4 linked regions of the Caenorhabditis elegans genome follow. The protein of the gene in region 4 interacts with the protein of the main gene of each other region in a pairwise test. Each region holds a gene or a part of one and is shown on either strand. Other genes may lie near its edges.

Region 1 (7,325 bases), on a different chromosome or scaffold from region 4:
ACCAGGAACCACTCCAAATGCCTCATGTATTCCAGAAAGAGTTTTCGAGCCACCACCATGTCTTCCATGTCCACAAGGACCACGTGGAGTTCCAGGACATCCAGGATTCCCAGGTGATCCAGGAGAGTATGGAATTGGAGGAAGACCAGGATCCGATGGAATGCCAGGGAAACCAGGAGATCCAGGACTCGCAGGACCAATTGGACCACCAGGAGAATCTGGACCAATTGGAGATAAGGGAAGAACACCAGAAGCACATGTTATTCCAGGACCACCTGGAGATTCTGGATTACCAGGACCATGGGGACCACCAGGATCAGCTGGTATGCCTGGAGAAGATGGATACGCAGGAACACCTGGAGAGAAGGGATGGCCAGGACCGCCAGGAGCACCAGGACCAGGTGGAATGCCTGGACCAAATGGTCCAACTGGAGAACAAGGACCTTCTGGTACTCCTGGTACTTGTGTTTGCCAAGATACTGAAGTAGTTATGAATGATGAAAAGGGACGTGTTCCAGCTCCACGTGATAATGTAAGTTAATGTTTGAACTGTATTTTTAAACTTAATCAGAAAAACCAAACTATACTAAAAATTTCAGGTTGCTCCGGGAGCCACGGGTGGATCATATGAACCACAAGGAGGAAATGATGCAGCTGCTCCATCAGCAATTTCTCAGAGTCAAAACGACGGATACGGAAATGGTGAATCAGTCAGTAATCATAAGAATAATGGAGGATATTATCACTTGCGTAAATTCACACAATAGTTGATTCTCTCTGCATCCTTTTTTGACCGTACCTCATTATGATCTAGCCCGATTTCGGCAGTTGCTAAACTAAGGGTTTTCTCTTTAATTTTCTTCGTTGTTTCTTTCCAAAAATTCAAACATTCCACAGTTGTTTATGACCATCTAATAAGTGTAATTATTAATAAATCTTACATGATAAAAGTGCATACAAATTAAATAAAAACTACGAACTCATAAATCAAAGCGGCGCGGCGACGTCCGTAACTGTTTCGGAGATATCGGTCATGTACTACATCTTTTCAAACGAGATAGAAAGGAAAATAGCAATTAAACTCGAAACATGTGGCCACAACGTCTACTTTAAATTGTTACTGTAGAGGTTTTTGTCCCCTCGGGGACTGGGCCGCCCAGCAGCAGTGAAATGCCAGGACGACCCTTGGGAAGTCGGAGAAAGCCCCGAGTCTTCCCTAGGTTCCAAAAATCATATAACCTTTATTACGCCCATTCGACTGTATACCGTAGGTTAGTACGATGAGAACAGACTACACTTTGATATTAGCTAATAAGCCGAAGAAGCGATACTGTTGAATGAAGACCGGAGGAGCAACGTTTGTGCATCTTTTTTTTCTGTGTACAAACCGAGTGATTGGATTGGACTTTATATATCGTGAAATTGATCAACATCATAAAATAATATCAAAACTAGAGTTGTGTACAATTGTATTGTGCAGGTTTTTAATATTTTAATTACGTTTAATATTAGAAATATCAAAACTTATAAAGTCGCAGTAAGGTTGGGATGCCTCCAGATGTTATAACTTTTAAGGAATAAAATCATGGTTAACAAATAATGTTTCAGAATATAAAATCAAATGTTACATTTTTAGTATGCAATAAAGTTTTTTTAACCAACTTGTAAATTCACTCTTTTTAGGTTTTTTTTTTAAATTAGAAGTTTGGAGATCGTCGCTGTTTCTAGTTTAATTTATTTTCCAACAAATCTTTTCCTTTCTTCTGTCGATATCTAATTCTCTCAAATCGACCGTCTTTTCTATGTCAAGGCCGCCCGTTCAATGCCTATGTCTCTCAATTTCCTATATTCTTTCTCCTCACACTGTCCATTTCCATGGTCTCCGAATTCGGACTGAAGTCGAGCATTTCTTAGTAACTTTAGCTTTAAAACATGGCGCTCCCACGTATTTTGGAGCCCGAAGAAGACGGAATTGTTGGACCATTTGAGCAAAAAGTTAGACATTTATTATCACTAACATTCCGATTTATTTTGGCAGTTTTTACGGCTTCCCATCTATTTGATTTTATGTTTTCCAGGTTAGTTATTATTTTCAGTTTGTGCTTTTTTTATTCATATTTTAATATTTCAAGCATATGGATGCATGGATATGTATGGACATTAAATCTTCCAATCGATTTGGATATGACTGATAAACCAGCTGGAGCACTTGTAAAGCATCAATTGGATAACATGGGTCATTTAGAAAGAACTATTCAATCTGTTCTTATTGTTTTGGCAGTTGTTATGGTCTTATTGTAAGTTTTTTAAAAAATATTTTGCGTATTTCTTTTATTAGATTTGCAGAAAAAAATGGGGAAAACATTTAAAATAATTTTTAGCTGAAAATCTAATACATGTAATTTTATTATTTTCAGAGCTCAAGGATTCACACAAAAACCTGGGAAAACCACGTGGCAATTGTTCAATACGTCCGCTGTTGTTGGCTTGATTTGCGGATTCATCAGGCCAGTTCAGGTAGATCTCTATAACAAAAAATATTTTAATACAACTGAATTTATAGATGCAACAAAGATTATTCTCTAGTCTGCACGAAGGATTTTATTGCTATTTTATGTTCTTTATCATCTCATTCATTTTGACAGTTCGATTTGATGAGAAACTACCGAAAAAGAATGCATTGGTTGAAAATCCATCAAAGGAAGAAGAAGCTGAAGTAGAAAAGAAGAATAATTGAAAATAATTTTGAAATGTAGTATTTATTGAGCGTTCGGGTATCAATATTATGATGGTAATAAAATTTACGAAATTTTATCAGAATGAATAAACGCGCACGTAATTTTTGTCGGTTCACAGAAAAACATTGTTCCCCGCTTCTTCATTCAAAAGTATCGATTCCTCGGCTTATTAGCTATTAGTAAGATAAAAGTGTAGTTCATGTATTAATCTAAGTTTATATGATGTTTGGAACACGGCGAAGACTCAGGGGTTGCTACGACTTCTCAAGCGTCGTCCTGGCGTTGCACTGCTACCGGGCTCGGCCCAGTCTCCGAGTGGACAACATAATTTGCAACAGCAGTACATTGACAGGACTGCAAAATGCACTGTAGTTTCACCAGAAAATTACGACTTTACCAATTACGACTTTACCTTGTAATGGTAAAGTTCCGTATTGGCACATGGTTGTCAATAAATTTGGGTATCATGAATATTTACAACGTACAGTTGCGGAAATTATGAAAGGCTGTAAAATATTGCAATGATCATTTATCTCATAATTCAAATTCTTCGAGTTTTCAAAGTTTCTTCTCAACAACTCCGGTTTCGGGATGCAACGTGACTTTCAATCGTTGACCGGAGTGCATGTTGACTCTCCGGCAGTTACTATCAGTCCGCGACGGCCATTAAAATATGTTTAATGTCGAGATTTAATAACCTCAATTCGACGTGTTTTACGTATCACTTATCACTGTCTTTCTTGCAGCTTCTTGTCTTTTCATTCAATTATTAGCACTAATTAACTTTTTTTTTCTAGGGGGTTAAATCCAGAAACCCAAGAAATGGTGGAACTCAACAATCAGGATAAAGTATTTCTAGGTGCATCCCTTGCAACCGCAGTAAGTTTCTGACATTGAAATAGATATTGAAAATAAATTTTTTAGATCATCGGTATTGCACTTATTGTAATTGGTTTTTTATTCCGATTTGGCGGTGGATTTGGGACATTTTCCACGTATGCCCAACAGGTACAGTAATCCAATTCCTCTTTCATCTCAGTTCTAATGTTTACAGGATAATGATTTCTTAGAGTTGAAACGTCTAGATATGATTTTTGGATTGTTCGTTGCTGCTGCCTGTGTGCTTGTTATTTCCTTCCTCGTAGCAACTGTATCCGTTCTCCGACACAATTCGTTTTTGCTGAAAGCCGTAGGTTTTTCAATTCATGATTCATGATGATTGTCTGGTCAAGAATGTGAATAATGAAATCTGAAACAAATGTTTTATCCTTTATCCATTTATCCATTAATCTACAACTATGCATCATGTTTCCAGTACTGTGCAATGGTTGCTCTTATGATTGTGGTTCAACTAGTTGATGGTCTTCTAGCTTTTACATATTCTGATCAAGTAAATCAATTGGCTTCTGACGATTTTATGTACGAATCATTGTCGAAAGCTGCTCAAAAGTATGATTTCAGGCAATATCCCTCTAAAGTTGACAATTAATTTTTACAGAACCATCCCACCAATTGGATCACTTTCCTCTGACGCCGAAGTTCAGTTTTGGGCAAATACTCAAGATTTAGTAAGCTTTATGATGTATCTTATATTGAGAAAGTATTAATTTCAGTTTGGTTGTTGTGGAGTTTACAATTCCACGGATTGGTCAGTGTTTTGGGGAGTAACTGGAACTAACAACGACTTGCAAGCATTGCATTGTTATCCACAACATTTTAATGATGTAAATTCTAAAGAAAATTCGATTAATATTCAAATATTTTAGGGTTGCGAGAAAACTATCAGAAATAAAATTTCGTCGAATGCTCAATACCTCGGAGCAGCTTCCATGGGAGTTTTGGTAGTTGAGGTGAGTGTATTTGGTAACATTTGAAATGTTTGTGTATATCGTAAAACACGAATTTTATGAGAAAAAAGAGCACGAGATCAAACCTATTATTTGATAGTTTATGGTGTTTAGCGGACACCTCATAAAATTTCATATAAAGATAAGGGAAATCGAATAAAGAAATGATGCCGGCCATCAACCTGGCGAATGACACTGGAAAAGTTTGGGAAAGTAACCAATTGTTATAATTTCACAAAATCATTTAAAAAAATACCACTTTCATAACTTCCGACTCTTCCCGCACTCTAGCGAGCTGTACACGATTTGTTATTCTGGTTTCTCCAGTCCCCGAGGGGACAAAAAACATTCACACTACCAAGCAATTAAAAGTTGACAATGTATAACTTTCTTTTATGCTGGAACTGAATTTTCTTCAGTATCACACCAAACGAATTAACGTTAACTGTTTACTAATTTATATTTTCAATTTTGATTTACTAAAATGTTCTTTTTCAGATAATTGCGAGTTTCTTGGCCGGATATCGTGCATACACATTGGCTCATCCAGAATTCGAAGACAAATAATTTATTAAATTTTTATTTCGGTTTATTTATCAGTTTTGTACATTTCTTTTTATAATTTGGCAATTAGAACAAATTCAATTTTACACAAAAGATTCTTGGTGATAGTTTCGATTATCAGACAAATAAGGCGATCTCAGAATCAAAGGTTCCATGGAATCAGATGATGTTGAAAAGGAAAAACAACGACATTTTCGGAAAATTTTGAAATTTGTACAACGAAAGTTGCAAAACAGTGAATATTGTAATTTCTTATCGAAAGAAAGGAAAACAAGATGGAGATGTTCGAGTGACAACAGCTCTGCTTAATGTACAAATAAGAAGAAGTTTAAGTGGAAGAGCAATGTCAGATGAAAATGATAAATGTCCATCAGCTGTTAGAACTGCCAGTTGTCGTTGAGAGTTCTTTTCACAAACGACTCGCCACGTGGATCCTCCAGATGGATCAGGCTCGTTGAAGGCTTTTGCAATGGGCTCGTGGCGAGTATCTTGAACTTCTATTCCATCGCTTGCTGAAAATTGAGATTTTAGAATAATTTTGTAAGAGCTGCAGAGCTTCCACTGTTTTAAGTTGTTACGCATACACAAAATTTTCAATAAATTTAATAATTTTTAAATTCTTACCAAGTGCATAATATCCTAGAACTTCTCCATTCCAATCAATTATTGAAAAAGTTGGTACAGTCCGCCTGGGTCGCAGAAATGGAATAAAGAATGAGAGAATTGATCGAGGAGCTGTGTCTGTTACAACTGCTACTCGTCGACCTGAAAACCAATTATTAATTCTAAAAGTTTACAAAATTAATATATTTTACCGTAAGATTCAATAATCCAAAAAGGAGCTTCATCACAAACATTTTCCGACCAAATATCTAAAAGTGGAAAGTCTGATGGATCAGTTACCTGTAAATTATAAATATTATAAAATATCAAAAAAATAAAGAATCCTACTTGTAATTCAGATCCTTGATGATTTAATCGTAAATGTGTTGAAGTGGACACGTAGAATAAAACCTGTGATTTTGATGGAACAATTACTTGTTTACAAGAATGTGATAATTCTTCTTCGATATCAGTATCTCCGTCGTTTATATCTACAGCTGTTTCAAGACGATCAGGTTGTGATGAGCCCGGCTGAAAATTAGACGATTATCTAATTTGAGATTTATTGATTGATGTATGATATTGGAAATGTTCAATTACAGTACTCTTCGAAGGAACACGACTTTTTCATTTAACGAAATTTTGTCGTGTCGAGACCGGATACCGTATTATTGGAACAAAACTGGCAAAACTTTGCTCCGGAGTAATTTTCAAGTTTAAATTTTGACGCATTAAAAAATGGTTCGCAGATTCCAAAGTTCATTCACGTATTGTTCATAAAATTTCTGACGATAAATTATTTCAAACCTGGACAACTGTGACGTGGCCATTTCCTTGTGTCATTTCGTAGGGGTACCGTGAACAAGATGGAAATCCGTTTGTCGACCTGAAATAAACGAAACTATAGTAGAGTACACCCGTGTTCTATCTGTTTGCCACTTTTTCAACTGGCAGCACTTAAGTGTCTCTACGAGTGTCAAATTTCGGCGGAGAGATGGCCGAGCGGTCCAAGGCGCTGGTTTAAGGCAACCAGTAGCTTCGGGGGCGTGGGTTCGAATCCCACTCTCTTCAGTTTCTTTTTTTTTCAATTGACAAAAAATTGAAATTTCCCAACTTTTGAAACTGGACAATGAAACAAAATTCGTACAAAAAGAAATGAAATGTGTTTCAGATAGAGAAAAGGAAGAAGCTCATTGTTGTTGTTTTGACATCTACCACAACATCTTCCTCTTTTTCATCGTTGTCACCGTGTTTCTCCGGAATTCAATTAAAATAAAGCGTTTCTGGACGTCTTCTAGTTTCAAAACTCTTTTCAAAAAAGTCATTCACTAGTTCTTCCTAATGAAGAAAGAGCAAAATTTGTCTTTTTCTACGGAACCAGGATCAGGGGGATTCGAAAAGTTAATTAAACGATGGTGAAATGGGCAAAAAAGGGTCTTTAAAGAATAATTAGGAGGTCAAGGTTTCCATTTTTGTTGATATTTTGGAATAACGAAGAAGTATTTCATCAAACAAGAAAAAGTGATAGAAGTAATAATAATAATAACAGTAGAAATATCGGATTACAATCATA
Region 2 (6,919 bases), on a different chromosome or scaffold from region 4:
TATAGGCCACTTATGCTCAGTTTTTTTTCTTTGTTTCTAGAAATTCATTACCGTAGGATTTTAGTAGGAAATTATTTGAGTTTTTTTCAACCTGATTTTTCGCCGAGAATTTAGGAAAATTTGGAAAGAAAGGGAGGATTTTTTTCAAGGTTTTTTTCCTCATATTTCTCCGAATTCTTCCGTGACTTTTAAGATATTGTAACTAATTTTTTTCTCAGAATGGATCCAAAATTTCTCGTAGTAGAAATAGACTCAAAGGAGCGAGCACTTCAGTTGGTTCAAGTTATGGTGGGTTTTTCTAGTGAAAAATAACTAAATTGGAAAAAAAAAAGTTTCAGCTAGAAAATGGATTTGCTCGATTCATGCTGTTGGACGATCTTTCGCGACACCCGACTCTCGACAGAATCCAGAGAGAAGAGCCAAGAATTTCAAGAGATGAACTCCGTGAAACAGCTTCATCTCCTGTCACATTTGAAACTCGACATTCTCCATATCCAGTGCATGAGCAAAAGTAGGTGGTTTTTTTTTAAATATTTTTTATTTAAAAAATGGAAATTTTTGAGATCAAACCTTATATTTCACAAACAATTCAGAAAAATTCACTCTTAAAAGAACCAATAAAAAAGGTTTTATTTTGTCGAAAACTTCTCTTTCGCCAAAAAAAAAATTTCCGAAGCCTCACCTTCTGCCTTTATTTGCTGTATATTCTCTACTAGTCTTTCAAAAAGTTATATCTCGGTTCATTTCAAAGATATCAATAAATAATCAACAGCAAATCTATAGAAAAACATTTAACAAATATTTTGTCAGTCGAAAGTTTTTCAATAAAACAAACGACAACTGAGTTATCAAATTTATCAGTTGGTTGAAATACTATTAGAGGAAATACGGTATAATACTTAGCAGAAAAGTTTTTACAAATAAAATTTGCGACTTTAAGTTCATCAAATTTTCAGAGTTCTATTTCCATCGTTTTCACAAGTTTCGAATTCAATGGTGACATCTACGGGCATCCGACAGGAAGCTTCAAGTGTTGGTGTTGGACCGATTGAAGACGACGATATTGTTGAGGAGGAGGAGGAAGAGGATATTCGACTTACTAGCAAGCCGTGAGTTTATCTACTTTAATAAATCTACTGGACATTCGAGAAATTAAAAAAAAAAGATTTCAGGTGTGTCAAACGCCGTTATGATCATCACGCCGAGGAACAGGAGTATAGAGATCAACTGATGAGCTTGTTGAGTGGAGAACCGGAAATTGTGCCTATAGGTGTCAACTCGGTTAGTAGTTTTTTCTATATTCCAAGACTCACAATTCCTCATTTTCAGAACGACGAACCATCTGGCTCCAACTCGGATTCTGCCGCGAAAAAGGCCAAATCCGTCGGCGACTACCATGAATGTCAGCTCTGTGGAGTTCGAGTCAAAACGCCTAGAAGCGGTCGATGGAATCTCCAAATGCATGTGATTGCTCTTCATTGTGTTGGAAGACAATATAAATGCAAGCAGTGTGATTACTTGGACTATCGAAAATCAACGATGAGAAAACATACGGTTTCGCAGCATGGAAGTGACATTCCGCCGCATAATATTACGTGAGTTTTGGAGTTTTTTCAAATCAAAATTTCAAATATAAATATTTTAAAACAATACCTAAACATCCCCATGCTGCTAGAATCAATACAATTTATTTTAAAAAGGCTTTGAAATATTAATTGAAATGAAATTATTTGTGAACAATTTTTGTAGAAGTTTCAAATTTAAAAAATCATATTTTTCCAGGGACAACATAATGAAAGCTGAATGGCATGCTGCAATGATAAAATGTTTCCCTGAATTTGCTCACAGAACTGGGTTCTTAAACTGATTCATCGCTCTCATCGCCAAATTATTTATTTTTTGATACCATTCCAATTTATTATATTCCTGATAAAAAGTGACAATTTGATAATTATATTGCAGTTATAAAGCGGTTAGATATACATACATCACCAATTAGATCAGCTTAACCTTAGTGAAACCCTCAAGTTCATGAATCGCCTTTTCAATGTCTTCTACTAAAATTGTGTTCCATCCGAGCTTTTCTGCAGCTTCAATGTTTTCATGGAGGTCATCCAAAAACACAATTTCCTCTGGTTTGACTCCGAGTCTTTTCTCAACTAAATGATAAAATCGAGCGTCTGGTTTCATGAGATGCTCCAAACAAGATTCTACAACTTCATCGAAATGTGTCAAATCGCATGGAAGTCTGGTTTCCTTGTGCTCCTGAAAATCATTGAACAAATTTTCAATATTGATAGGAACTCGATTACCTTATCTAAGAACATGTTGTTTGTCAGCATGGCGGTTTTGAAGCCCTTCTTGTGAAGAATTTCCACGGTTTTTTGCATATTTTTGTGCTGAAAATGCTAGGTTCAGGGCAAAGTTTAGAAACATTTTAAGCTTACAATTTTAACATTTTCTCCACGAAGGCACTCGGTGAATGGTTTTATCACAACGTTGTCAGTCAGCTTGTTTCCATACTGAAAGTTTAAAAAGTAAGAAAAAATTTCAAAAACTTTGTTTTGAAAATAAGGAAATTCATGAAACTTGCAATAAATTTGAATTTCAAACTTCCTAAAAATGTAGGAACGATGTTTCAGCTGTATCTTTCTGAAATTTTTTCCAAAAAATAAAGTCGATGGAACGTTCAAGTTTTTTTATAAAAATTGATGGATGTTCAGATTTAAATTCTCCAAAAAATCTTGGGGGAAATTTACATGTATTTTTCGAAAAAAATTGAAATTTCAAAACTTCAGAAAAATTTGGCGCATGTACCAATATGCATATTTTTTTGTGAAAAAATTTAGAACTTGACTCACAAGAAAATTTGCGAGAATTTCAAAATTCAATATTTCAACAGAAATTTTTTTCCCGAGATTCACATTGTAAACTTTTTTAAAAATTTAGGGAACAAAGCAGGAATATCAAAATTCCAGTGTTCAAAAAAAATTCGACGGGAAAATTCAAAATATAATTTTTAAAAAACATTTTTGGCCAAAAAAGTGTTTTACAAAAGTCAAAATTCATTTTTTAAGAGACGCTTAAAAATTCAAAATTGATTAAACCTCGCCTACCTTATGCTTCAAATACTGCAAAAAGAGACCTCCTTCCAAATCGTCGACAGTCAATGTACCCAAGAAAAGACTTCTATCGGGTCCCAACCACTGCGAAAACTCAATTCCGACAGATTCACTGTGTACAGCATCATCAGGAAGTCCAAGTGATCTTGACATGGCAACCCATTTCTCCATAACACCTTCATAAGAGAGTAAAACTCCTCCGAAATCGTAGACAACTGCTTTAATTTGCTGGGTCATAGTCATTTTGAAACTGAAATTGATTTATTATTTTAGGAGAAAAATATTTTAAAAAAACAATTCAAATGAAACGAAAAGTCTTGAAACTGAATACTAAAACAAAAAATGACATCAAAACTGAACGAGTTGGTCTTTAAGCATATTCGGAAGCAGGCAGACGCAGACAAAACGTGCGTTGTCGCTGACTAGATGAGTGTACTTTCATCACTAGAAAATATAAAATACGCCACCGTCGATAATATCAGTTACATATATATCAGCAGAAAACACGAAAATGAACGAAAAAGAGAGAAAAGTTAAAACGGGTTTTGTTCCGATGAACTCTCAAAGATGGTGGGGCAAAGAACAAAATGCTAGTGTGGAGGTCCCCAGGCCCCCATGAAATGTCTTTTTCTTCTCTTTTTTTCTCTTTTCCTCTTCACTATTTCCCTCGCTGGAACTGAACGTTAAGAAATATAAACCTTTGGAGTTTTTAATTCAAAAAAAAAAGGTCAAAACCAAAATGTTCAAAAAGTCAACAAAGATCTCGAACAAAAATATAGTCGACTAGACAGACCCCCCCCCCCCCCCCATGTTTCCATGGTACTGAACTTTTGAACTTTTGAATTGTCCTGAAACTTCTAGAGTGTAGTTTGATTTAGTGAACATAAGACAGAAAATGCATGTCCTATATGAATTAGATGAAGTAATCTATGACCTAGATTTTTATTGTATCAAAAGATCGTAGTGAAAAATATTGAAATATTACACCTTTCTGCAGACGCTTGTCAGTTTTCCACCGCACCTGGGGCTCCATTAATAAATTGGAAATAGAGAAAATTCCGTCTTGTGCATCCCAAAACTACAATGGTTTTGGTCATGTCGGTACAGAACGGGACCGATGGAGATAGGCAGGCGCCTAAATATACCAATAGGCAGCTAAGTGTGTCTGCACAGAAAATACATCTGTAACTATTTTTACTGAACTTTCCACAAATATATCAATTAAAATTTAAAAATGCTACCATATACATACACTGGGGTCTAATGCCAAAATGCAGATGGATTGGCAGGCAGGTAGGCCTAAAGATGTGTGTGCCTACCATATTGCTTTTAACTTGGAAAAGAAGTTGTGAGAAAAAATTGAAATACAAAGTTTTCTGAAAAAAAATTAATAAAACGAAATCATCAGACAAAAAGTGATATTGTGCTCCGACACTACCAAAACTACACAACTTTCGCCTATTTATACTACAATGAATAGTCTACAATCAGGTGGTGATAAATACCACGTTTATTTTTTAAAGTGATGTACATATATTTATAGAAACATGCACAAGTCATACTATATGAACTCTGTTGACTCAACTGGAGGGAATAAGTCACAAAATGTGAAGGGCTGAGCCTAGTTGAACAGAAATTCGGAGGTTTTATAGGGGAGGGGCGTGGCCGTTGGGTTGACAAAGATCGTACGGAAAAACTAAAAAGATTTTGTGATATTTTGTGTTGATACATATGATTCTCTATCATCTCCTTCCAAAATCTGACGGTAATCGGAAGAGATTAAGAGTGGTTCGTTGTACTCGGCCACCCACGCACACATGTTTCATTCATTTCTGTTTAACAGGCTTAGGATTCATTTGAATGGGATTATTGGTATTATAGTTCTTTGAACTAGAACTTGAAAAAGTTCAAAGCGGTTAGTCTGTGCGGTAGTTTCTTAATTGAACATACATACCGTATATCTTCTATTAGTATGGCCTCCCTATTAGACTGGCACTCCCTATTAGTGTTGCACTCCCTAATAGTCTTGCACCTACTTTTTTTTGGTGCGAACCCTCCTTACTAATTTTAAGATTTTAATAACATTTTTTGAATATTTTGCAACAATTTATGAGAAAATTTTTATGAGATTGAAGTTATTGTACCTTTTTGTTGCAATTGCAATCAAATTTTCTATATTTCCAAATTAAAGTTGGAGTTTTTTCAAGTAAATATTAGTAAGCCCCAACACAGAAAAATGTTCTGAAAAATAGTATGGCACTCCCTATTAGTCTTGCACTCCCTAATAGTATTGCAAGCGGGAAGACCTTCGAAAAATAGTATTGCAGCCATATTAATAGAAGAAATACGGTATGTACATACTCGTCACTTTTTTTTAGATTGGAGGTTGTATTGACAATATTTGGTCAAATTGAAATAATAAAAAAGTGCATGTTATCATTACTGAGTTCTGAAAGTTTTGAACAGTAATTATTACAATATTGATGACAATATCGAAAAAAAGTCATCCAATGAAGAGAATACACTTTGAGTGATAGATTTTTTAGATTTAGAACCGGCAACATTTAGCCGAATTTTCCGGAAAAACGGCAATTTGCCGAAGTTCAAAAAAATGAACCCGTAAATCGACACTGGAGCTACGGTGGTCATTGCCTAAAAATGATGCTCTATGCGCATTCTCAGTTTCAGACGACTATTTAATATCTCAGCTGGAATTTACGATAAGGTTAAGAAACAATTTGTTGCGATGTTCAGTGAAAAAAAAACTATGAATGAGTTCTGTCTTATTATTTTGAATCGCTACGGTTTCTTCTCCATTCAGCGCCCCTGTAAAGTTTTTCATAGTTCCAAGAATCGCCATATCAATTATTGTGACCACAGTTCAAAAGATAACTATTTTTTCTTTCGATCAAATTTTTCAGGGACATGCCGCGGCGCCAAAATGGTAGATCAACACAGTTCACCTAAACTCTTGAACACTTCATATTTGCATTTACATTGAATATCTGAATTCCTAATCATGAGATTTTGTAGTCAATATTATAGTATTGGTATAGATGTTTGAAATTTTGCTTTTCATAGTTTTGTTGGTCATCAAATGATACTACTATTTTGACAGTTCACAAAGTCGACCTTCCGCGGAGAGAAATGTTCAATGTCATCACGACAATAGTACATGCTACGTGTATAGTCTAGTCAGACTTTTGTGACCAGAATAGACACATTCTTTGTTTATAATATATTTTAAATAGAGAAGGGGAAATTTGGAAACAATTTTGCACAACGCAAAATACAAATTTAATCATATATTTGAACTATGGGCTTTCTGTAAGAGTGACAACATAGATCGAACGTTTTGGGGAAAAAACTAGAATTAATTGTGATTTTGCAGCTACATTTACTGGGGATCACGAAAATTCGAAAATGTATGTTTTGAAAATTATTTGCAAAAAATTTTAAATCCTAAACTCATAAAACTTCTTTGTAAACTTTGACACGGCAGAACAGTCCTAATGTTTCTGTTAAATTGTTGATTTCATAGCTAAAATTAAACGTGAAGGTATATACGCTTTACTATAAAGGCTTGAAATGTCACTTTTAATTTCTAGGCCACTTTCGGAACTTTTGATGTAGAAGTTTAAATTCATTCATTGTCAGATAAAAAATATATTTTGAAGAAAGTATGCCACCTTCACTTTACTTTAGAGCACAATTGCTGAAAATTATATGTACTCAAAAAGCACAGAGGGACATTTGGAACTTACTATACTATAACTTCGAATATATCGAATTCGATT
Region 3 (11,190 bases), on a different chromosome or scaffold from region 4:
CTTGCAATCTCTGCTCTATCGTTCCTGCAAAACGTATTGTTTCAGTTCAAATAATAACACTAAAAGCCCCCCGCAAAAACCAAAACCTAACCGTTTCGGGACAATAAAGCCTGCCGGAAATTCAAGGTATTCAAACATGCGCTCCTCATCAACACTTCTCATTGCTTTTGGCCTCTTTTTGGCTTCAATGTCGGTTGAAGCCATTATCAGACCAGGTGAGTCTTAGAGTTTTATCTACAGTTTAGTGAGAAGCACAACTATAGGATTACCACAAATATTTGTAGTTCGTACGTTAGGGTCTTGAAGCGAAAATGAATTTAAACCAAATTCGTGGCAAGACCCATCCCCAAGAAGCAATCTAGCCATCATTAACTATATGACACAGGTGCCCGGTCTCGAAACGACCGACACTTTACAGCTATCGTACCCACGAGAAGTACACAATTTTTCATCTCCTCCCAGCACGCTCCGTGTCTTATGATTTTCAACGCGAGAACTTCATATTTTGTTCAAAAGATGAATATCAAAATACATAAAAAAATCCTCAAAAAAAATTCTTACCTGGGTAAAAAGGAAAATACCTCAACCAGCTGAAATAACTATTCATTGAATCTCACTAAAACTTCAGGATATGGAAGCGGAGGACATCGTCCACCATCATCGTACCATGGAGGACATCACAATGATGATGACTGTACGACAAAGCCACCAAAGTCCACGAGTACTCCATCAACTTCCACATCAACTCCTACAACTACCACAACAACTACTACTACCACCACTACAACTCCTACCACAACCACCACCACCACCACGACCACCACACCTGAACCAACAACTACCAAGGTAAAAGTTTGTCCACAAGGATACACAAGCTTCCTTCGTACTCCTGCTGCTGACAACTCGTTCACTTCTGAATGGTGCATGCAATTGATATGGTCCCCAAGACAACCAATGCCGATCAATAATGCATCTGCTCTTTGCCAGGCTTCTAACACTGAAGCAGTTGTAACTACCTTCGCCAACGAGGAGGAGCTCAATGTGTTCTCTTTACAAATGGCACAACAGTTCGATCGTGTTGGACCGGCAACTCGTGGCGCTATTGCTGTCGACGGAAGACGTATTGCAGCATGTGTTTCAAGAGATCGAGGAATTCTTGACAGTGAGGAATGCAATGGTACAAATTCATTCGTAATGGTTGATAAGCATACCTCACCAGGTTTTACTTGGTCTAAATGGGCTACAAATGAGCCATCTGCAAATGCTTGGACATAGTAAGTTTATTCAAAAATGTGCAACAATAAATAAAATCTCTATTAGTGCGGCTCTCGAATGTTTTTGAAGATATTAAGACAATTCAAAAACATTAAGTATAGAAAAAGATTTAAAAATATGTTCTCAGTTAAAGTTTTTCTACAAAAACAAAAAATCACGAGATTATTAGCTGTCAAAGTCGAATATGCGGTATATAACTTGAAGCACACGGTGTCAAGCTTTTTTTGCTGCTCATAAATTTGGAAGGCGACCAAAAAAATTATTTTTCCTACATTTTTATACTTTAATTTTAGTTTAGTTATTCGTGTTAAAACATTCTAAGTGTCGGAACATGCGACATTGCTTTGAATATTTTCAAATTTTTTGGCAAATTGCCAAAAACTTTGAAAGTGAGAAACTAGGCCAGCTGGCCCCTCTTTTCAACTTTTTCTCCCAAAAAAAGGCTTAGAGAAATTGTGATTTATCAATTGATTTTCCAGTGACATCGAACAATGTATACAATTTACCGTCTACCCAGCGCTCACAGGACCAGGGGATAATCCATACAATATGCTCAACCGTAACAATAAATTCAACGATATCTACTGCAACATGGACAAGGCTCCAAATGAGCCAACCAACACCGCCTACTGGAACTTCGGTGCTCTTTGCGGAGTCCTCCCATCCTAAACACTTCTAATTCTAATGATGGTATATTTTGAATGTTTAAATGATAATAAATGAGGTTATTCAAAAACAAAACAAGTGTACTCGTATTTACTCTACAGACAGAAAACAAAGAACTGACATCAGAAAAAGAAGCAAAAATGAATAACTTAAATATTAAAAAATAAAAAAACGATAAGAAACACAGGAGACTGATTATTTGTTGGGATTGTATATCCTCTTCTTGACACGTGTGATACGCCAGGCATTTGCATCTGCATACTTGTCGAACAACGGATCGATTTTCTGGTTTCGTTTGAATGTTGATAATTTGGTAGAATCTCCGATTTTGAAGAATGACGGTGCAAATTCAACAAGCCATTTTGGATCGATTGCGGTGACCTGGAAATTGAAAATTAGGTTTTTATTTAATTTCTTATTTAGACTTAAATAGTTTTTGGCCCTAAATGAAAGAATAAAGTCTCCATATGCCAAATATGAATTTTAAAAATGTATATAATTTCTCTAAACTTTGTATTTTTTTTTCAAATTTTGAAAATATTTCAAAAGGGAGCATAATGGCCTAGTTTCGACATTTTTGTGTTTTCCGCCTACAGTACTTTTCCGTATATAAAATTGAAATAAACTTACTTCTCTCATATATTCCTTAGTTGTCATGACGAGTTCATGATATACAACCCATTCTGGTTGTTGTTGGAAACATGCTGATGATGGATGAATATAAACATTCTGTCCATCAGTCAATGTTCGATATCCTTCCTGTGGATCACGTTTTGCAGCATTTCGGAAGAATCCAGAGCAAATAGCCTTCTGAACTCTCGATACATCCCGTCCACAACTGACCATCAGAAGTTTATGACGATCCATGATTCCGAGTAATTGCTTACGAATGTCCTGAGCTCTCTTCATACTTCTCACTTGAATGAAATTTTCGAAACACCATGGTTGTGAGAAATGATGGTTTTTCCATGAATTGTAAACCGCTAGAAGTGTCAAATGATCTCCTTCTGGTTGATGGAATTTCGCCTTCTTCTGGTCAGCATGATCCTGTTTTTCTTTAGGTCGATAGAAAATGTTTTGCACATTGAGCATTGCCACAATCGTAAGAACTTCTTCTGAGCATCCCAGATCGACAGACATGATCAACAATTTGGAAAGTGATGGTTCCAATGGAAATTCAGCCATTCGACGACCAAGTTTCGTGAGAAGACCATCTCCATCAAGTGCTGAAAGCGTGTGAAGTGTATTGAGAGCAGTAATCATTGAATCCAGAGGTGGAGCATCCATGAAATCAAAATCAATCAAATTATTGATTCCCATAGCTTTAAGCTGAAGAAGTGTTGACGCCAAATTTGTTCGCTGAATTTCTGGAACAGGTGTCGGAAGCATCTCATCACGGAATGCACGTTCTGTGTAGAGACGATAGCATTTTCCAGGTCCCGTACGTCCTGCACGTCCTGATCGTTGCTTTGCTGCGGCTTGTGAGATTGGGGTGACAACCTGAAATTTATATTGTATTTTCGTTCTTATTTATCAGAAAATTGTTTTTTAATATCTCGAAAAAAATTATCTTATTTTGAGTAGCTAATAATTTTAATTCGTCTAATTGCAAACAATATTGAATTTTATTGCATCATTTTCAGTTTCTGGTGAAAACATTTTTTTTTCACTTTTTTTTCGAATCAAAATTTATGAAAAAAGGCGAAAAATGTATGATTCACTTTTTCGAAAAAAAATTTGTTAAAAAAAGGCGAAAAAATATTTATTCCACTTTTTTTCACAAAACATTACACTCAAAATTAAATATAACTCTACAAATATTTATTCTTGAAATAATAAGAATTTTCGTTTCAAACATTTCAAAAATATAAAATTTCAGTTTTTTCCTGTTTTTGGCGAAATAAATTGTTTCGCTTCGAACAAAATTTTTTTTCTTGTTTTTGGTCTCTCTGGTAAAAATGGATTTTTTTCTTCGTTTTTTTTAAGACAAAAACCAAAAAAAAAAAGTTTTTTTTAAAAAGAAATCCGAGTTTTTTTTGTTTTTGGCAAAATATTATTTTTTCGTTTTTCGTCTTCGAAAAAACTTGTTCTCCTGGTTTTTGAACTTTCTGGTAAAAATTGATTTTTTTTTTCGTTTTTTTAGCCGCTTTTCGTGTTTTTTGAAATTTTTTTTTCGTTTTTTGTCTTGTTTTTTGGTCGAATTTTTTCGTGAAATCCCTGACGGGTGCATAAATGCTTACCAAGGAATCCATTCCACTTTTCGGATTGTAAATCTTCTGTTTCACAAATCCTGGATCAACGACATAGAAAATTCCATCAATTGTCAAAGAAGTTTCGGCAATATTCGTAGCAATAACAACTTTTCGCTTTCCGGCAGGAGCTGGATCAAAGATTCTTGTTTGCATTTCACTTGGAAGAGCTCCGTAGACAGGAAGAATAATCAGCTCCGGCACATCAGGTCCCATTGATTTCATTCGTTCATATAAAACTTCACACGATGTATCAATTTCTTCTTGTCCAGTCAAAAACACAAGAACATCACCAGGTGGCTCAGTCAAATGAATTTGCATTACAGTAATATGTGCAGCTTCAAGGTAATCTGATTCTGGTTCTCTTGTGTACAGGATCTCAACGGGGAATGTTCTTCCAGGAATTGTAAAGATCGGAGCTTCCAGGAAATACTCTGAAAATTTAACTGAATCCAAGGTGGCACTAGTGATAATCAGCTTCAGTTCCGGACGTTTTCTAGCAGCAGCTTTCAATAATCCAAACAAGACATCCGTATGAATTGTACGTTCGTGAGCCTCATCAAGCATAATCAACGAATATCCAGAAAGATCAGGATCAATAAGACATTCTCTCAGAAGCATACCATCCGTCATGTACTTGATAATAGTATCTTGACTTGTACAATCTTCGAAACGAATTGTATATCCAACATCAGTTCCCAGCTTACAACCGTACTCTTCTGCCACACGCTTTGCTACGGACATTGCTGCAACACGACGAGGCTGGGTACATCCAATTTTACCACGTCTTCCAAGTCCAGCTTCAATTGCATATTGTGTCATCTGAGTAGTCTTTCCTGATCCAGTTTCTCCAACAACGACAAGAATTTGATTATCAATCATTGCTTCCATCAGATTCTTTTTCAACGCAAAGATCGGAAGACTTTCTCTCTGCTCAACCATACTCAAATTGGTTCTTCTTCCATAAGTCGCTTTTCCACCAGCTGTCACATGTTTCAACCATTCTGGCATTTCTTTCATTTTATTATTCCGATCCTTTGACTCATCAGCACTCCACGCAGTCGACTGATTTCCAGACATAGGATCAAGAATTCGAGCATTTGAACTGAATCCTTTCTGTGTATCCATATCACGCTCTCGTTGTGCTTGAATTTTCGTTTCTTTTCGTTCTTTTGAAAGAGCACCTTGCATTAAAGCTGCTTGAGCTAATGAACCATCCGGATTTTTGACAACTTTTACAGGTTCTATTTCTGCACCGCCTTTTCCATATCCACGTAAAAAGTCAGGTTCGTCTTCGACAAGCTCGATTTCAATATCCTCGCCATCACTTTCATCTGAAAATTGAAAAATTGTTGTGCTTTAAATGATAGAAACTTTATTTTAAATATTTAATGATTTTTTTTTAAATTTAGCTTTTTTAAAAATTGTCTTTGAATTATCGGGAAAATCATTTCCTTGTAATTTTTCGCATTTTCCTGCTAAATTCGAAATTTTTCCTTTGATATATGCAACTTTTGTCATATTTTGGCTTGTCTGTTGAAACTAAAAAATCGTCTTAAAAACGATAAATTAGTGTCGATTTTTGAGGAAAAATGTCTGCGTGCGCGAATTCAAAAACAATTTAGTCATTTTCAGGAAAAATTAATTTGTTTTAATTCAAAAAATTTTACAATTTTTCTTGATAAATTATTAAATCATAAATTTTATACCATCATTTTTTTCATGTTTTTTTTTCAATCTTGCTTAATTTTTAATTTTATTTGAATTCCCGGGAAAATTATTGCCGTAATTGTAAAGTATTCGCATTTTTCAGGCTAAATTCGATATTTATTCTCCGATGCATCTTTTGTCATACTTTGGCATTTTTCAGTAAAGAAAACCAAATTTAAATTTTGTTGAAAATAAAAAATCGGCTTAAAAACGATAAATTACTGTCAATTTTTAAGGAAAAATGTCTGTAAAACATCATTTTTAGTCATTTTCAAGAGAAATTGAAATTGTTTTCAATTAAAAAAATTTTGCAGTTTTTTTTTTAAATATAAATTATTTTTAAAAAATCATATACCGTATTTCCTCTATTAGTCTTGCATGCAAGACTAATTTTCGATTGACCCGTAGGGGTGCAAGACTAATAGAGACTGCAAGACTATTAGAGGCTGCAAGACTAATTTTCGAAGACCCGATAGATTTGTTCAATTGGCCATTTATCGTCACAAATTTGACTTGAAACAGTCTAAATCATGCAAAATACATACTTTTCTATTGTTTTATCAATTATTTTAACACTTTAAAATTTAATTTAGCTATAAAATGGCGAAATTGTTGAAGTTTTCACAAAATACTGCTGGTCTGGCAAGAATAGGGGTGCAAGACTAATACCGTATGTTCTCTATTAGTCTTGCATGCAATACTAATAGAGGCTGCAAGACTAATTTTAGATTGACCCGTAGGGGTGCAAGACTAATAGAGGAAATACGGTAAGCAAAATAAAGCACCATTTGCGCGGAATTCAAAAATAATTTAGTGATTTTCAAGAGAAAATAATTTTTTTTTCAAATTTATCATTAATTACTAGATCATAAATAAAATACTCACCATCATAATTTCTTAGAACTCCCATTTCTTCATCAAAATCAGGCATATCTGTGGCTGTGAGAACTCCGGCTCCTTGCATTTGTCTTAATTCCCACCGTTCAGGTGTCGAAATTCGAACTCTCGCCTTTCCACCACCAATTGAGGTCGAAGGACCTTGTCCTACTCCACTTGCTTCAGGATTCATCCACGAGGAAGTTGATGCTGGCGGTGTCCGTGGACGAACTCCGATTGCATCCGGATTCAGGTCGGTCTCGCGTGGATTCAAATCTTCTCCACTATTCTGATCGACTTCTTTCATTGACAACGAGATTTTTCCATTTTCAATCTTATTAACTTTAACTTTGACATTTTCTCCTCTTTTCAAAACATCTGCGACGGTTTGAACTCGTTCATTTCGAATTTGGGAGATGTGAACAAGTCCTTCTTGTTTTTGACGGAAACCTTCCAGTGTGATGAAAGCTCCGAACGATTGAATACTGTTTACACGACCATCGTAGATTTTTCCGATTTCTGCAACTTCGGATTTTCTAGCACCACCATCATCTCGTCGATCACGCCGATCTCTTTGTCTGTCGTCTCCTCTTCGATCCCCACGTCCTCTGTCTCTGTCTCTGTCCCGATCCCTCCTATCTCGATCTCTTCTGTCTTCACGACTCCTACTACGTCTCCGACGATCCCTGTCACCACTACGACTTCTTCTTCGTTTTCGATCACGACTCCTTGATCGACTTCTTGAACGGTTTCGTTTTGAATCTGATTCCTTTTGAAGACGTTTCTGTAAATGGAAAATTTATTTTAACAAATTTCAAATATCAAAGATACGTACCTCACTTTCATATCGGCCTTCCATCTTTTCTAACTGAGCCATAAGATCATCTTCATTATCTTCCTTTTCTTTCGCAGTATTTGCCATCGCTAGAGCTGGAAGTCGTGCTTTAATTTCTTCTTTTGCATCAGAAATCAATGTAATTTTGTGTGAATCCTTGATATCTTCTTTTGAATCACCACCTTTCTTGTTTTTCTTTTTAACAGCAGTCATGCTTTGTACTATACGAAGTATGGTCGCAGTGAGGGAATCATCAAACTGAAATTTAGAATTAAAGAGAGGAATATCGAGACTTTTATATTTATGAGACGAATAATGTTTTTTTTAAATCTCGATATTTGATATTCATCAAAATATTTTAAAACACCTTGAATTAAAATAATTTTGAAATTTCCTTTAAAAAAATAATTTAGTCGTTAAATTTTCTCATATTTCAACATACCTGATCCCCAAGTCCCTGACTATCCAAAGCCTTTTTCAGTTTATCAAATGTTGGATTCTCTTGAGCCAAATGAATAACAAACTCAGCGACATCTTTTTCGACGACACCAAAATGGTTCTCAACTTCACTGAGGACCTTGCTCACAAGTGAGAGGTGCTCAAGCTGGTCCATCCTGAAATTTACAGATAAAAAATTTAATAAAATAATTCTTTAAAGCAGTTTTAATTCCGAAAAACTCGAACAATAGAAAATTAGAGTAAAAAAACAAATTCGAAATCTAAAATAGTGGGCGTGGTCTTTCATGCAAACTGCGGCCCGCTTTTTCGCAATTGTGCCGCACAGTGTGCAGCTTTCTTTAATTATATTTTTTCAACAATTATTTTTTATTTTATTGAAGCTGCCGGCTTTCATTTCGTTTGTAAATATGTTTCATTGTGTTTTTTTGAATTTATTTTAGTATTTCCAAAAATGGATATATAAGTTTGTGTTAATGTAAAATCGTTATTGCAAATACCCTTTGCCTTCAAAGTTAACAAAAAACAAGGTCTTTTAAAGCATGATTTTAAATTTAAAAGCTGTTCAAAAACTGCAAATTTTCTAGATTTTCTTTGAATTGGTGCTTTTGAACGTTTCATAGTGACCAATGTGTCCCCAAGCATCCGAATGTCCCGTTTTCTGCGTCTCTTCACTTCCGTATAATCTCTAACCCGACTCACTGGTAAACATGCGCCATTCCTCCTCCGAACAACGACTAGTGAAAATCGATCAAAATTGTTTTCAAATTTATTATTAATGTTTCAATTTCAGAAAACAGTTAAACCTAAAAAATGGATTTCAATCGAAGCTTCACATCGAACCTCGGGAGCGCTGGAAGTGCTAAATCACAACAGGTTAGAGAACACAATTCGATTTTTTGTCTACCAAATAAATGTTAATGTGATAAGAAAACACTAGGGAACAGTAGCCAAATCAAATCATATGGTTCTGTTATCTTTTCTCTCGAAAAAACGTTTTTTTCACACATTTTCAATTTTTCAGAGTATGTTCAAAGCACTCCGCCGGCTTCATGGACAGAACTTGGAGAGCCGAGGGCTTCATGATATGACTGAAGCATTTCAGTCATTTGTCACAAGGGCACGGTTTTTCAGTATTGGAAAATTGAGGTAATATCAACATTTTAGCTCTGGTTTTTTCTAAATTAAAATTAAAATATTTTCAGGCGAACTTGGTCCCACTCTGCCGCAGAGTTTATGAAATATCGACGACTTTTACCAATGTTACTCGCCGATGGAGATGCATTTGATGGAGGAGAAACAGACGGTAATAAATCTTAAAATTTGGAAAAAAAATCAATAATTGTTTTTTTTTTCAGATTTCGATGCATCTATCGCTTTCCAACATACTTCTCGTGATGATCGAAAAATCGTGGTTTCGAATATTTCTGCTAAAGTCACCCAATCACAGCTTCAATCCTTCTTTTCTCAATATGGAAAAGTGTGTTGTTTTAATTATCATTTAAATATAAAATTTTAAAATTAAATTTCCAGATAACCAGCTGCATTCTGCCTCGCGAAGAGAAAAAGACATCAGTGTTCGGAACACTTCCAAAGCATTCCAGAAATTGTGGAACTGCTACTATTACTTTTAAGTATAATTTAAATTTTTTTGGTTTGTTCAGGTCTTTTTAATAATACAATTTTTGCAGAAAGTCTGAGCATGCTGATCGCGCGAAAAATGCGAATCCTGAAGAGTTGAAGTTTTATGATCAAGTTATGGTTGTCTCAGCTGTAAGTTTTTGATTTGGGATTTAATTTTTAAACCAATTTATCTTGTAGTATGTATCGAAAAAACGTGGAGGTAAAGGTCTCGTGCTCAGTGATGATGTTGGAAGTCGTGAAGATACTCCATTGTCCCGTGCTTCATCTACACAGTCGTTAGCTTCAGGATCCGAGCAATCATTCAATTTGGGAAACGTCCCGGATAAAATTCTTAGAAGGGTCATCTCATTTTTACCAATTCACGAAACAATTCGATTGGAACGAGTTAATAAAAAGTTCATGGAAGAATCAATTAAATCCTGGGAACTTGTCAATAAAATTGCATTGGCAAGAGAAACTGTATTCAACAAGCAACGACCAATGAGAACAAGTCATCTTAAAATGAGTTTGAGCTGAAATTTAAAAAAATTAGTTTTAAAAAGTTAATAAAAAATAAAAAATTTCAGGCGATTCTTACTCGTGCTGGTGCACACTTGAGGTCACTTGATGTTTCTGGAATTGTGCATCTTCTTGATGATCGCCGAGCACTTAAAGTCATCGCAACATGCTGTCCGAATTTAGTTGATCTTGATATTAGTGGAACTCATGCTCAGGCTGAAGCTCTCGAAGAACTTGGAGAATCACTTTCACATTTAGAACAGCTATCTTATAGAGGAATGGAAACAACTGGAGACAAGGCATTCTACTTTTTACTTAAAAACTGTGGTCATTCACTTAAATTTGTGGATTTACGAAATTCAAAACGGCTCCACGGACGATCATTCAAATTATTCGGGTCACAACTGGAAAGTTTATATTTGGATGGATCATCAAAAGTAGATGAGATGGCTTTTGAAGATTTATGCACCAGTTGTGGAGGTCTCAAAGAATTACGGATCAATGAATGCTATAAAATCACAGATGAGAATCTGAGTATGATCGCTAGAAGAATGGAAGATCTTTCAATCTTAACATTATGTGGGGATGGATTCAAAAGTTTAACGTCAGCCGGATTGATTCATATTAGTCACATGAGAAATATTACAGAATTGGCGTAAGTTCCATCTGAACCTATGATTAAAATTATATTTATCAATGTTTCAGCCTTGACTACAACGCTCTTGTTAATGATGAGCTTCTTATCTCAATATCAGCTGGTCTACCGCTTCTTTCATCACTCAGTCTTGCTAACGCTGGAAACGATTCGTCGATCACTGCAGAAGGAGTTTCAGCGATTAAAAATCTAAAAGAACTGACTCAGCTTGATGCATCGTCGCTGGCAGCTGTCAATTCAAAAGTTTTAGAGCAACTGGGCTCACTGAAAAAGTTGGAAATTATTCAACTGAGAAATTGCACATATCTTGGTGATGATGGTGTGCG
Region 4 (7,666 bases):
ACGCCTGCGAGTTTTCAAAAAAGACGTTGGAGGACGCGGTTTCGAGCTTTCTGGAGCAGTTTCCCCGAGCTTCATCGCTAGTTATCGTTCAACTGTTGCGATTTCGGATCTTGGATGTAATAAGGTGTTCATTTGCTGCTTAGACGACACAAATTGGAATAATATGTCATTCAATACTCTTCGAGTTCTCGAATCGGTTAGTTTGAAATTGAAAAATCATTTTTTCTTATTTAAAAAAACTGTGGTGTTTCTAACAATTGTAGTTTGTAGCCTGTGTTTTAGAGAACACCTTTTTGTTGCTTTTAAAGCGATTGTGGGCGGACAATGTCGAAGTACTGGATTACTGTAGTTTTGAAAAAAAATTCACTTTTGAAGGGATAGTCAGCGGATCATCGAAAGATTTTTTTCAGATAAAATCGAAAAAAAAATGATAGAAAGTTTAGAACAAATTCAATTTTTGTTTATATCGATGAGAAAGAACTTGAGAAAACATATAATTTTATTTAAGAATGTTCAATTTTTGTGAAATATCGAAAAACCAACACCCTTGACTATATGCGTATTCAAGGAAAAACGTGTTTGGCTTTTGAAGTAATTATTTCGGGATACTGTAGTTAAAAATTGAATTTTTGGTTTTTGAAAAATATTAGAGAGATGGTATGGTGTGGTATTACTGTAGCTTAAGACAATATGCACTTTTTTTTGGTATTAATATATTATTTCAATGACACAATTTTCAGTCACCTGATCTGCCGATAGATCAGCTCGCCAATGAAACTGGATTCCGATTCGTCTCCGGAATGCAATTCGACCAAAATGGCTATCTTCTCATTGGAGATGCAAAAGGTCATTCGATCAAGGTTAGAATTTTCAAAAAAAGTTTTTCAAGTATATGGAAAATTTTTAGATTTTTTTTGGTTTAAAATAAAAAATTTAAATTTAGAATATTTTTAAATGTTTCAGCTGTTCGACACTGACTACAGTTTCCTGCATCGTATCTCCAGTGATTTTCCTCTTCCCTATATGTCTTCATTCCATGTAAACAGTAAAGGCCAAGTAATTATCCTCGATGTGAACGCGGAACAGAAGCTTCACTGGGTGAAGATGGAGTCGATCGACGAAATTCAGAAATGGTTGCCACCGAAAGCTGAAAGACGTCCCACGCAAGGATTTTATCAAGCAAATGCTCGTCGAGGTGAATTCAAACGTTCACAATTTTGAGTTTTGTCGATTTTTCTGGATGTTCTCGTTTGAACCAGCATTTCATTTCACTTTCTACCCGACGTTTTTTTTATAATTGTTCTCTTTCTGTTCAATTTTTTTATTCAAATAATTCTTCAACATTCATAAACTACCTCCCCCCTATAATAAGCTCTCCCTATTAAATCAATATAATATTGACTCATAATTTCTTATCAGTTTTTATTGAGTCAACAACTCTCATTTCTAGACACTCTTTCCCCATGCATCCATCGAGGTGAACATTTGAGTTTCGATTCTTTTAATGTTTTTTATCCATAACTTTCAGAAAATCTGCATTTCCAAAACCTAAATTTGAGGTCTGGAAATTTGCAAAGTATTCCTCTGCTCTACAGATTTTTCAAATTGTGAGTTATTTCAAGTACTTTTTATCTGTTGTTGTTGAATAGTTTTAGTTTAGTAATGAACGTATTTTTAATATATATATATATATGTTTTGTGCAAGAAACCAAAAACTTAAAATTAGCATGGAATTCTAGTTTGGAAGCTTCGTATCCCTTGTGCTCATTGGACTTGTTGGCTCACAGTTTGCTCCAACATATGCTGCTCTTTTGACATGCGTCTTCGCAATAATCGGATCATCTGTATTTTTGTTGTGCGATGTTTTTAATATTAATGAGACTGAACCAGATGAATGGGTTTTTTGGGTAAGAATATATTGAATTATTTATTTTTTTCGAGTTTTCTACAGGAAAGCGTCTTCATTTCATCATTCTCATTTTTGTTCACAATCAATACACTGACCATGTTGTACAGTTCGATTCGATGGAATAATACGGCCTGGTGGCTGGCAACGGTATGTTATGCAAAATGTGAAAACGCGCTCCACGGCAATTGACAACGCCCGCCCCCAAACCATGGGTCTCGTTAGATATTTGTCGGCAAAACCGTAAATTCAAACTTTTTGACTTAATTCCGCCACTTTGGCGAAATAAGCAAAAATGAAAATAAAAACATTTGAATGTACGGATTCGCCTCCAAATACCTAACGAGACCCATGGTTTGGGGGCGGAGCGTTTTCAAATTGCCGTGGAGCGCGAAAGAAAATCAATTTCAGGTTGTCTGCGCTTTGGTGACAGTCTCGTTTCTTCTCAGTCTGTTACATGTGATGAAAAACCAAACGAAAGGTCATATTACTGTTAAACAGGAGGAGAATGTTGTGCGATTTAATACGCGGATGAACCGCCGACGGATTTGAATTTATATCAATAAATGTACAATTTGACAATTCATATAAATACTGATAATAAATACATTTAAGACACAAATAAAACGTAAGTAACTTAGAAGAAAGTGATCAGAGAACTGTGGGTTTACTATCAGATCGGATGGGGGACAAGTGGATGTAATTGAACCGAGTATATGTAAGTAATTGATTTAAATATATAACTATTCCGGGATGGATTTAGGAAGAGTAGTTGGATGAACCAATCGGGAATCAGATGATGAAGGAGTATCCGGAGATGGAGAATCCCATGAATCCGGTCTTGGTTCCGGTGATTCAGGTGGCTTAGTGGGATCATCAGTGAGAAGAGCCTTCTCCATATATTTCCTGGATATTGGCAAAGCCGTAAAAACTTGTCCGGGTCCGTTACGAAGAGGTTTTGAAGTATCACTTGTGACAGCGTCAAATGCGGGCGTACGAAGTGGAGTTTTGATAGCATCCGCGTGGGTTTCAAGACTGAAGTGAGAGTAATAGCGAACGAAGTCACTTATAGTTGTCAGGTAGACATTGCTGTGCTCGAATCCCCATCCTTCTTCGTTTTGTTCGATTAGACAATGTGAGACACGTTCTCCGTGAAGTACACTCAATACGAGCTTATCACCCTGAAAAATATTCAATTCAATTCAAAAATTAGCGTGAATGAGGATGAAAAGTTATTCTTCTGATAAAATCATAAACTAACATGAGAAGAGGATCCTCGAATCAAGAAAATACCATCTTGTGGCTCTCTTTTCAATCCAACAGCCTTGTCAAGTTGAGCGATCCGATAGCGAGCATGAATCAGAGCATTCGCAGCATTTTCCTTAGAAGTTCCACACATCAAATATTGTGCCGGTGTCCACTTCAATTCCATATCGACAAGAAGTTGAGTGACTTTCGTTGGCTCACTGTTTATCATTTCCGCTCCAGCATCAAGCATTGCAGCCATTCTCGAACAAAGTGCTGGTTCCATTTTATCATAGACTGCACTACGAAGTTCCATAAGCTTGCAGAGTCGTGTTTTTGAATTGGATCTTTTCATCGCGATTTCATCCAAAATTCCGGAGAGCGTCTTTTTCTTATCCTTTGATGACGTCAGTTCAGTGTTTATTCGTCGAATACTTTCTTCCACAAACTGCAAAATAAAAAAGATAAAATTCAAAACTATAATGGTTAAAAATTGAGGATTTGCTCTAAAATCATTTTTAAAAAACCGAGAAAAAAATTGAGCAAAAATTAATAATCCAGCTTTGAAAATATTGAGTTTTGGCTAAATAACAATTTTAAATTGAACTTCTTTTTTTTGCTTTAGAATTGTTTTTTTTTGGTTTTGGATGTTTTTTTTCTTCAAAAAACGCTTACTGTCTTATTATTTGCAAATGCTCCTTTGAGCATTTCACTTGTTGTCTGCGATCCCTGTATTTGTGTAACGACGTCTGTTTCAGCTTCTAACAAATTATTCAGTTTTCCAAGTTTAATCTCATTGTCCCGAACTGATTGATTCAAAGCATGATAGAGACTTTCAGCTCGTTCCATTTCTTGATGAGCTGAATCATATAGCTTGGCTCCTCTCTCAAATGCCAAATGTACTGCTCTCAAATTTTCCATTTCCAAGCGTTCTCTCCAATCTAAAAAAAGCATTAAATTTACTAATTTTTATTTTTTTCAATCACTCAGACGCGAAATTTTGCCACTTTCGCGATAAAAATATGGTACGAGGTCTTGAAACGACAAGAGAAATTCCGCAGCAATTAAAGTTTGAAATTACAGTATTTTTAAATTTAGCGTTTGCGTTATAAAATAATTTACCATGATCATTTTTTGCACTGAGAATCATACGCTGCTGAAGTTGCCCCTTCTTGAAAAATGGTTTTCCATTTTGAGAGTTACGACGAACAGAAACTGGATATAAAAGACGAACATCAAGTGCATCATTGAAAATATTGAGAGAAATATTTCGATGAAATTCAATTAATCTGACAACAGAATCGTGAGTTAATGAATCTGTATTGAATCCGCATTTTCCATCTTTAACAACGATTCGGAGAAGTTTCACTTGGGCGGCAAATCTGAAAAAAGGACTATTAATATTGAATACTAATTTTGAAAAACCCACTTCACAGAAAGTGTATAATCTCCAGGTGTACTAGCATTTCTCACAATAAATGATCCATCAGGTTGATCAGAAAGTGCTTTCGAAACTGCAGATCTATCAGCATCAGCCCAGTACCATCCTTGTTCCATAAGACTATGAGTGACTCCATGAGGAGTTCCAGGTGTTGTGCTCATTCTGAATCCTTATATATATATATATATATATAATTAACGGAGGAGAAGAATCTGTGGTGTTTTTGCCGAAGTAGACTAAATCTGGCACAAGACCAAGCCGAGACCAAAAAGCAAAGCATTGAAATTTGTGAAAACACCAAAAAAAACCAACAAAAAAAGTATGTATAACATGGTCTGTAGACCAATGGAAATATCAACGAGAAAAAAAATTCGAAGAATGCAAATAATTAAATAATTTTATTTGAAATATTTACACCCATAAATACTAGCAATTCGTCCCGACTATTAAGTGCTCGCTTTTTTGAAAATTTTCATCATAAGAACCATTGATACGAAGCTCATAAAAATCAGAACAATGAGCATGACCTTGAAACAGTCATAACCACATTTGTAGGCGTGACGCTCAACTCGCTCACTTTGAATCTGGAAATTTTAAGACTATTATTTGAAGTTTATATAGTGAAGAAATTACCCCGAGAGCTGTTTTATTATCATCGACTTCTTTCGCCATTAATATTGCTCTTTCTGTATCTTCTTTAATCACATCTCCAGCAGCCGACATCATCGTTTTGAATGATCTCGCCATAGTGGCCAAACTATTTGCTAGCTCCTCCTCGACAAGCTCATTTTTCATGAATTCCTGATCTTCTATAAAATTTGACGAATTTTGAACAATCATTGGATACTAATTTTTACCAGATGTGTCTTGTGCTCTATGTTTATTAGATGAAAGCAACTGCTTCCGAAGATCTGATCGATAGATGGATCGTTGAGTAGCTCGGAGTCCAGCTGCGGATTCTTTTTCAAAATCGTAACTTTCCGCCTCGTTATCTGCAATATAAACATTAAAATGAAATATTGAATAATTCAAAAACCATTCTTGGAGTCTGCAACAGTTACTTGGACATCGGGAAATACACGTGGAATTTTTTCAATCACTTTCAGGCGCTCCTCGGCTGACGACTGGAAAACTTACTGACAATTTCATAACAGTTGCGAAATTCACAAAATATTTAAAGCTGTTCAACTTGTTTTCTTTACTTAAATCTAAATTGAAAAGAGGGACATAAAATCTACGGAACATTTGCATAATATTTTAGGATTAAATTTTTAATTGAAACAAATCAAACAAATTCAAATTAAGTTTAGAAATTATGTAAAAATTTGTATCTTTAAAGCAAAATTACAAGATCGAATTTGCTTGTCTAAAATATCTACAAACCTTGCTTTCAGCTTCAGCGAGTAATTTCAGTTGCAAGACTTCCTGTCGGTACTCGTGGAGAATATCATTTGTGGTTCTGGAAAAGTAAAACTATAAATATTAAAAAATGTATTTTGAAAAACTCACTCATCGTTTTGAAGTGTATAAATCATTTTATTGAGAATCTTTGTAGCTGCAGAAACCTGAAATAAGAAAAATAATTAATTAAACAGAACTTAAAATGTGATACTTGCTTTCCAAACGTTTGCTGACATATCCTCTTTTGTCAAGCGCTTTGTTCGCTCGAGAAGTCGTAGAAATTTCAGCTCATTTTCAGAAATATACGCCATTTCATTGATGTTTTGACAAAATTAGATAAAAAAATAAAAATAAACGTTGACAACTTGAAAACAAATAAGTTCGGCCACGGCCGAGAAATACAAAAATGCAAATGCGCTCATGCGCGAAAAAATTTTCAAGTCATCCTTTTTGTCGAGGACTGAGAGATTCTTCTTGTTTTATGTAATTTTTCTATAGGTTTCTGCCGTTTATATTTTAAAATCATATTTGTCTAGATTATCTTTATATTTTCAGAGAATGGCCCGTCGTTACGATAGTAGAACGACCATCTTCTCTCCGGAGGGAAGACTGTATCAAGTCGAATATGCTATGGAGGCTATCAGCCATGCTGGAACTTGCCTCGGCATTCTCTCATCGGAAGGAATCGTCGTTGCTGCTGAGAGAAAGAACGTTCACAAGTTGCTGGATGATTCTGTCATGACTGAAAAGGTCTACCGTCTTTCGGACAACATCTCGTGCACTGTCGCTGGTATCACCGCCGACGCGAACATCCTCATCAACCACTTGAGATGGTGGGCTGCCAGCTATCGTAACAGTTACGGAGAGGAAATGCCAGTTGAGCAGCTCGTCCAGAATCTTTGCAATGAAAAGCAGAGATACACGCAGATTGGTTTGTTGATAACTTCTCTCTTGATTTCTATTAATATGATTTTCAGGAGGAAAGAGACCGTTCGGAGTGTCACTTCTCTATATCGGATGGGATAAGCACTACGGATATCAACTTTACCAATCTGATCCTTCCGGAAACTACACTGGATGGAAGGCAACCTGCATCGGAAGCAACCACCAGGCTGCCGTAACCTTGTTGAAACAGGAGTACAAATCCCCAAATCTTGAAGAAGCAAAGCAGTTGGCTATCAAGGTTCTCTGGAAGACTTTGGATGTGAAGCTCGCTTCCGAGAAAGTTGAGATGGCTGTTTTGACTCGTCGTGATGGAAAGACTGTGCTCGAAGAGCTCACCACCAAGGAAGTCGATGCTCTGATTGCTGAGCACGAGAAGAAAGAAAAGGAAGCTGAGACTGCTGAGAAGAAGTAATCTATTGCCTTTGAAATAATCTTTCAAGACTGTATTGTAAACCATCCTCCCACCCGTTTAATTTATTGTCTGGTTTTATTTCTTATCACCCATATTCCTATCTCAAACGTCGGTGAAAATTAAATATTTGTATTTTTAAATTTTGCTTTCTTTAATTCACCTTGTTGTTGTCCGTGCAAATCTTTGATTATTTGGTCAAGCGAGAGTGCTGGAAAAAAGAAGGAGTGTGCCGCAACATTGCAATGGGCGGAGTCTCGAATTTTCTCGAGCATTTGGGGGAAAACTGGATTATTAAGCCGAAATCTTCAGAAAAAAA

Evidence for each region.
Region 1: the proteins of aap-1 (region 4) and tsp-10 interact in a two-hybrid assay, tested with the Caenorhabditis elegans proteins (one large-scale study listed by BioGRID).
Region 2: the proteins of aap-1 (region 4) and bigr-1 interact in a two-hybrid assay, tested with the Caenorhabditis elegans proteins (one large-scale study listed by BioGRID).
Region 3: the proteins of aap-1 (region 4) and mog-5 interact in a two-hybrid assay, tested with the Caenorhabditis elegans proteins (one large-scale study listed by BioGRID).

The regions. Positions count from the first base shown.
Region 1 is NC_003280.10:6,715,026-6,722,350, forward strand, and holds tsp-10 (Tetraspanin), read left to right. Parts: upstream 1-3,560; coding exon 3,561-3,617; intron 3,618-3,662; coding exon 3,663-3,746; intron 3,747-3,792; coding exon 3,793-3,927; intron 3,928-4,053; coding exon 4,054-4,187; intron 4,188-4,236; coding exon 4,237-4,306; intron 4,307-4,351; coding exon 4,352-4,462; intron 4,463-4,504; coding exon 4,505-4,588; intron 4,589-5,083; coding exon 5,084-5,152; 3' UTR 5,153-5,244; downstream 5,245-7,325. Other genes in the region: Cuticle collagen dpy-2, read left to right, coding at 1-532, 600-767; T14B4.5 (uncharacterized protein), read left to right, coding at 1,933-2,078, 2,133-2,297, 2,418-2,517, 2,564-2,737; T14B4.8 (ANAPC4_WD40 domain-containing protein), read right to left, coding at 5,402-5,661, 5,774-5,914, 5,965-6,052, 6,101-6,283, 6,560-6,638.
Region 2 is NC_003280.10:11,178,107-11,185,025, reverse strand, and holds bigr-1 (HAD family phosphatase), read right to left. Parts: upstream 3,373-6,919; 5' UTR 3,366-3,372; coding exon 3,117-3,365; intron 2,523-3,116; coding exon 2,448-2,522; intron 2,400-2,447; coding exon 2,313-2,399; intron 2,266-2,312; coding exon 1,996-2,265; 3' UTR 1,879-1,995; downstream 1-1,878. Other genes in the region: Transcription factor lir-3, read left to right, coding at 220-288, 339-511, 957-1,109, 1,173-1,281, 1,330-1,595, 1,783-1,867.
Region 3 is NC_003280.10:5,396,573-5,407,762, reverse strand, and holds mog-5 (putative pre-mRNA-splicing factor ATP-dependent RNA helicase mog-5), read right to left. Parts: upstream 8,226-11,190; 5' UTR 8,225-8,225; coding exon 8,054-8,224; intron 7,870-8,053; coding exon 7,612-7,869; intron 7,561-7,611; coding exon 6,786-7,560; intron 5,525-6,785; coding exon 4,182-5,524; intron 3,442-4,181; coding exon 2,572-3,441; intron 2,323-2,571; coding exon 2,137-2,322; 3' UTR 1,953-2,136; downstream 1-1,952. Other genes in the region: clec-141 (C-type lectin domain-containing protein 141), read left to right, coding at 137-215, 629-1,274, 1,755-1,944; fbxl-3 (Putative RNA-binding protein EEED8.10), read left to right, coding at 8,881-8,943, 9,092-9,216, 9,273-9,373, 9,426-9,547, 9,601-9,701, 9,759-9,840, 9,889-10,212, 10,278-10,864 and 1 more.
Region 4 is NC_003279.8:5,104,931-5,112,596, reverse strand, and holds aap-1 (SH2 domain-containing protein), read right to left. Parts: upstream 4,755-7,666; 5' UTR 4,754-4,754; coding exon 4,581-4,753; intron 4,534-4,580; coding exon 4,274-4,533; intron 4,093-4,273; coding exon 3,827-4,092; intron 3,600-3,826; coding exon 3,168-3,599; intron 3,088-3,167; coding exon 2,650-3,087; 3' UTR 2,459-2,649; downstream 1-2,458. Other genes in the region: Y110A7A.15 (uncharacterized protein), read left to right, coding at 1-196, 741-860, 964-1,221; Y110A7A.21 (MARVEL domain-containing protein), read left to right, coding at 1,464-1,477, 1,529-1,607, 1,740-1,907, 1,952-2,056, 2,318-2,458; use-1 (Vesicle transport protein USE1), read right to left, coding at 5,039-5,176, 5,226-5,401, 5,450-5,584, 5,629-5,716, 5,976-6,051, 6,102-6,157, 6,209-6,304; pas-3 (Proteasome subunit alpha type-4), read left to right, coding at 6,552-6,924, 6,971-7,350.